2 linked regions of the Schizosaccharomyces pombe genome follow. Changing the gene in region 1 together with any one later gene gives a genetic interaction. Each region holds a gene or a part of one and is shown in the gene's direction. Other genes may lie near its edges.

What was found. Genes that interact genetically often act in the same process or in processes that back each other up.
Region 2: mutations in rpp201 (region 1) and ppk9 together harm fitness more than expected from each alone (negative genetic interaction), as found in Schizosaccharomyces pombe (one large-scale study listed by BioGRID).

Annotation. Positions count from the first base shown.
Region 1 is NC_003423.3:3,641,421-3,644,233, forward strand, and holds rpp201 (ribosomal protein P2), read left to right. Parts: upstream 1-1,740; 5' UTR 1,741-1,768; coding exon 1,769-2,077; intron 2,078-2,140; coding exon 2,141-2,164; 3' UTR 2,165-2,233; downstream 2,234-2,813. Other genes in the region: nce103 (putative carbonic anhydrase), read right to left, coding at 1-530; histone lysine methyltransferase Set6, read right to left, coding at 2,398-2,813.
Region 2 is NC_003424.3:1,605,512-1,609,271, reverse strand, and holds the start of ppk9 (serine/threonine protein kinase Ppk9), read left to right. Parts: upstream 1-2,122; 5' UTR 2,123-2,182; coding exon 2,183-2,297; intron 2,298-2,468; coding exon 2,469-3,760. Other genes in the region: sterol transfer protein Osh3, read right to left, coding at 1-1,110.

The DNA of each region.
Region 1 (2,813 bases):
GGATCTTCAATGGCGTCAAGTTCTTCACGATTGTCTTCGATAACATCACGGATGTGTCGCAACCAATGATCCAACAAATTGTTTAAATTAGGACCAAGAGCAGCAGCGACACCACCGCATCCATAATGGCCACAGACAATGATGTGCTTAACCTTTAATACGGTCACGGAGTACTCCATAACAGCTAAAGCATTAATGTCAGAACGAGGAACGACATTGGCAATGTTTCGATGAACGAAGACTTCACCTGGAAGTAAATTCAGAATGGTGGTCTCAGGAACACGAGAATCTGAACATCCGATCCAAAGAACTTGAGGAGTTTGAATATCTTTGGTGGCTGTAAAAAAGGATGGGTACTTTCTGCTAGTTTGTTGTGACCAAGTCAGATTGCGTTCAAGCAAATCTTTGATTTCCCCATTCTGGTCAATTTTACCAGCGCCAGAAACGGGAGAAGCGGTTGAAGCTTCTCTGTCGATTATCTCGTCTTGATGATCGATTTCCTCAATACGACGTTTCAATCTATCAGGCATTTTCTTTTTTTTATCACTTTTCTCTAACAATTGACTAGACGAAAAAAACAATCTTTTTCTTCCAAGCGATGAAAAAGATATGGATTGTAAACAACTATTATAATTACAAGGAAAACGAATGAATCTCGATGTTAACCGCGGAGCCGCTATTATCGAGTAGCTGCTACTTTTTATTTGGTTAAAGGTAGACTGGAGTATGGTTTTTGGAAGCGGAATTTTTGTAGTTGTCAAAGCACCGAATGGTGGGAGCATGATACGTTTTTATACCACACGACAAAAATGGAAACGTTTGTGATGTGAGCAAAGCTATGATGATGAACTTTGATGTATAGCTAATACTCCGATAACAAGCCGTCCCGTCCGTCGAGTAGGTAAGGTTTATTGGTTTATCTATTATATAATGTAATTTATTTTGCTAGATCTTTGCAAGGGACTACCTACGGATAGTTTTGACGGCTTCGCAGTTAACAAAAAACCGGATACGATTGGCTTAAAATTGCAAATTGTCCCAAATATGAATAAAATGTTGACAGCCATAAAGATTTCGCAACCGTGCGAAATTTTTTTTTTCTAAACACAAAATTATTGGAGAAGAATCCGTCATTTATCAATTACGAGTATATCGTCTTATCGTTATACGTGTTTTCGATTAAGTTAATCTAAAATTAAATTAAGCGATAATTAGGTTTTGTAGATTGAAACATTTGTTAACATGGGCACCGCTGACATTACTATAAAAAAAGACGAAAAAAAAACAATTGCCCATTGTTACCCATAATAGGAGGAATGAAATGAAAGTAAAGACAATTGAGAAAATTTATTCAATAGCTTATACAGCTATTTCAAGTCTCGGCCAGTAAGTTAAGCACTTGAAGTTATATTTAAACCGTCAGTTTACCAAACATTAATATGTTTGTTTCAATTCCCATTGATAAACTCAAATACGTGTATGACATTAATTATGCCTCTTTGTGCATACGGTTTTCTTACTATTATAAAAATAATTAGCACGCCCTTAACTAACAACTATTTAGGTTGATTTGAACTTGTAGAAAAAGCTTGTAAATATCGTGCTCGTCAACTAAACGAATATAACAAACCTTAGAAATCATCGCAGCATTCCACTCAAACACATACCCTAACCTAACTCGAAAACCAGTCACAAAAGTTTCGAGTCCCTTAGTGTTGTGAATGCTTAATACTTTCTGCCATCAACACGCACTGCACTCCTCGTCAAAATGAAGTACCTTGCAGCTTATTTACTCTTGACCGTTGGTGGAAAGGACTCCCCTTCCGCTTCTGATATCGAGTCTGTTTTGTCTACTGTCGGTATTGAAGCTGAATCTGAGCGCATTGAAACTTTGATCAACGAGCTTAACGGTAAGGATATCGACGAGCTCATCGCTGCTGGTAACGAGAAGCTTGCTACTGTCCCCACTGGTGGTGCTGCTTCTGCTGCTCCTGCCGCCGCTGCTGGCGGTGCTGCCCCTGCTGCTGAGGAGGCTGCTAAGGAGGAAGCCAAGGAAGAGGAGGAATCTGATGAAGACGTAAGTTAATTTTAGATAAGAAGCATTCTTTGTTTCTCAAAAGCATCTTACTAACAATTTTAGATGGGTTTCGGTCTTTTCGACTAAACCAAATGATCCCTTGTTTTCATTACGCTTTCATAAAAATAAATCGCCGTGTTGGTTTTATTTTACCAATTTTTTTTTAGTGCTCCATTCGTAATAGTATTTTTCGTTTGATAAATGTAATTTTAGCTTACTTTAAATGTTAATGTACCACTGGTGCCCCGTGTTGTTGATTTGAATATAAGAGACTTTACACTTGTAAAGCAAGTCGTTGTTTCGAGAATAATAAATTTTATTTAGTATGTTACTAGGAAGTCTTTACAAGCGGCCCATAATTTTTCTTCAAATGCTTTCAAATTGTTTTGAACATGAAGCATGCAATAGTCTTTACAAACCTCAAATATTTCTTTAATGTCATTTTCCACATTTGAACAAAATGTGGTCGAAGGATGACTTATTCTAACTGCTTGCTGTAGCCTTTGAGCCCTATCTAAAAGCCACAAAACAAAATCATCAAGGGAAATAGAATAGCGGCCCAAAATACAGTGGTGTAACCCTCCAAATGATGGTATATTCTTCAATAAAAATAACGAGTTATTGGTAGGTACAGTCTGCTGAGGTTGAGAGCTGGACGGGAACTCCATCTCCAAAGGTTTGTCATTAGGAAACATTAAATGCTTTACTTCCATAGCCACTTGCTTTCCCAAAAGCA
Region 2 (3,760 bases), on another chromosome or scaffold:
CATAGACATGCGTGACGAAGGAGAAGATTGCGCCGTACGTTCTTTAGTATATTCATGGTGTTGAATAAAGCATTCCAGTTCATGCAACAAAGACCCGAGTTGACGAGTAACCTTGCGTAAAGTAACCGCAGCTTGCGCGTTTTCAGCAGCAGTAATTTCCACTGAAGTACGGGTTTCCTTGTTTTCTTTGGCATCACCGGGAAGTTGTATACGGATCTCAGGGACAGAAAAATTATGACTTGAAGCCGATTTGATACGACTGGTGCGATACAATTGAGCAATATCCAGGCATTCACGTAGTCTTGAGTAAATAGAGACTAACTGATTGGATGACGATTCTTGTGTCCTTTCGTCTACTACGAGCTTTGAAGAAGTTTGACTATTTTTCGCCTTTTCCAAAGCATTGCACCAACGTAGCCAATCTTGGTGAGTATGTGCTCGTAGGTTCCACAGTTCTACGCCTGAATCAACGTTGATCTCATGCGTCTCTGCAGCAACGCTAATCACAGCAATGCTCAAGGGAATTTTACCGCGCATTACCGAAGAATTTTCGTTAGCATAGTATGAGATCGTGCCTTCCACCATGTTGAGAGTGAAGTAACGTCGAGCATAGCCTTGGCCCTTCTTTCGGCGCTTTTTAAGCAAGGTTCCAGAAATAATTTGTTTAGGAGAGCCATGGACTGATGCATTTGGTATTCTCGGACCGTTGTATGGTTGCGCGGTCAAGAGGAAGGTCACAGTTTTTGGTTTTGTTTTCGAAAAAGTGTTATCAAACACGAAGGCATAAAGTCCTCCATTCTCAATGTAGACAGAGCCCTCACTAGGCTTTTCCGACATACATCGCTCTCCTTGATAAAATAATTCTAACCCAGCAGCACTCAACTTCTTGATACCAGCTTCGTGAGTGTGTTGACGCTTTGTATGCAGGATGGAACGATCGGTGTTTTTGTTGGATCCATCTAGCAAGCTAGATGTGTCATTCTTTTTATGATATATATCAAACTTTATGCTTTTCCGTTTCACATGCAGTTGCCAACTCAGTAAGGAATTCGATTCCACCGTGAGCCATTGTATCAACAGACTCTTACTTCGTATCTCCACAGTTTCCATGTTGACTCATGGACTTCTACTGTGATAATTGCAAAACTTAGAAAGCCTATTTTTTTCAATTGATGACTGGAGAGGAATAAAATAATTGCCTAAACGTATGTGGTAAGAGATGGATTTTCGGTTTCGGGATTTTCGGGCGAATGACTCCAAGGTATTTTACCGATGCGGAACGTTCGGTTTTTTGGCGGCCACCTAATGTAATGTATACTTAAGTAGTAAACAAAGGGCTGGTAGCGGCAATAGGTATGCCAGTATGTAAACGGATACAAAGAAAATTTTGCACTTATCACTTTCCGTAGTGTGTACTTGGGATGCCTCGATCGGGCTATTTCAGATATGGCAAAATATACTTTACATTAAAAAATAGCTATACAAAAACATTCGCACGGTCTGTAATATGCGGTTTTATGTTTGTCTACTAGCATTGATGGCATCGTGCGAAATAATGCGGGTTTTTGGGATTAAACCGAAAATCAAATGTTTTCTGTAGTCAAAAAATCTAGCTGTTGTAATTTTTTATTTAATTGTCTTTGAGTATTTCTATTACTGCTTTTACTAATTTTATCATTATCACGGCTGTATTGTTGTAGCTTATTGTGCAAAAAATTTTGGCTAGAAGTTGGGACGGATCTAATGATGGAAGAGGGTAAATAGAGAGTTCCCATGTACTCATAAACTTTGAAAATTGGCATAATTTCCCATAACACAATACCAGCTCGATTTTCCATTTCATAACACAAAATTTACATACCTATGCATCTGATAACCCATAGACCGCGTACCTTAATTAAATAAAGTGCAGATTGGTTGCTCGTATCGAACGCTAGCGTTGTCTGCAATGTCGCCGTGGAGATGTTTACCAAAAGATAGCACGTTACGCCATATAATCTTATTACAAGGTTGCTTTGAATCACACTACTTTGCCTCGTGCACCTTTTTTATCGCTAACAAATTAGCATCAGATGCGCGGATCATGTTTAAGTCGGACGGTATGCAGCAACATGCACATGCTAACCACCTATATACACGAATAACGAATTTCATCCTATAAAGTCAGCTGGCTCGACTTGCTATGCAAACCCCTTCTTCTGCATCGGCAGAGTCTGAAAAGGATTCAGGAAACACCTATGTTGGGCCTTGGCTTTTGGGAAGGACTTTGGGACAAGGAAACTTGGCCAAAGTGAAATGTAAGTACATGAGGTGAAATTTAGTTGACTTTGTCTTGTAGGGGCTTGTTAATAAGATAGAGTAGACTACTTATAGACAGTAGAGATAGACTACTTAGGTGTCATGGTTATCTTGCGCATCGATCGTCTTTGATTTTGTTTTTGGCAATTGTACGATGGCTAACAGTGTAGTGGGCAAGCATTTTCAAACAAATGAAAAGGTCGCATTGAAAATGGTTTACAATGATGAATTGGAAGATAAAGATACGTGGAAGCGTTTACAAAGAGAAGTGACAATCTTAAGGCAATTGCACCATCCAAACATTATCACCCTATACCAGGTGTTTCGGGTTCCCAAGTACACAGTGCTCGCACTAGAGTATATGGATACTGATTTGCACAGTATGGTGGTTAAGCATAATCGACTGGATGAATGTACCACTCGCAAGATTTTTCGACAAATTGTCCATGCCATCGATTATTGTCATCTTCATCGTGTTGCTCACCGAGATTTGAAGTTGGAAAACATTTTACTTAATAAAGATCTGGTTGTCAAGCTCACGGATTTTGGCCTTTCCAATTTTATGCTTGATGGTTCCTTTCTGAGTACCTCTTGCGGTACTCCCCATTATGCTGCTCCTGAGGTTATTCAAGGCCGTTATTATGATGGTTGTGATGTAGATGTATGGGGTTGCGGAATCTTATTGTATTTGATGCTCGTCGGCGAGTTTCCCTTTGAGGATGTAACCATCTCCAATGTATTAAGTCGCGTTTGTAAAGGAATCTACACCATTCCTAGTTTTGTATCTTCTTCAGCCTCAGATCTCATTCGTCAAATGTTAATGGTGCTTCCTACTTCACGAATCAAAGTTGCAGAAATAATGCAACATCCTTGGTTTATCGCTGATCTTCCCACGCATTCCCGTTTACCTTCCCGTACTTCATCCTTTTCTTCCAAGCATCGATCTGTCACCTTTTCTCCTCCAGATCTTGCTATTCTTTTCGACCCTTCCATAACTTCGCCTTCCAGTAGTGTAGGTCAAATTCCTCAGCCCACAGATCACTCAGCCCTATCCCCGTCAAAACCAATGTCCATTTCAGGTACTGAATCTCCTAATCCAGATCCCGCATCTTTATGTTATTCGTCGTATGAGGACTTGTATTCGGCTACTTCGTGGCATTCTGACATGGCAGAATCATCCGGATTTTTAGATCCTACTGATATTCCACCAATTCCTTCTAACGTTGAAACTTTACGCTCTTCTCTTCCACAGAGACATGCTTCATTCATGAATAAGGTCTACAACCATCCATTATCCCGACCTCCCGCCCCCAACCGACTTCGTTCTTTACGCTGGCATTATGGGATTCAAACTGCCAAAAATCCAATTGAAGTATTGAGAAAGCTATGTGAGGCTTTACTTGAGTTAGGAGCTCGGTTTCGGCCCTGTGATGAGGAATCTTTTCTAAAGGAAAATAAGTAT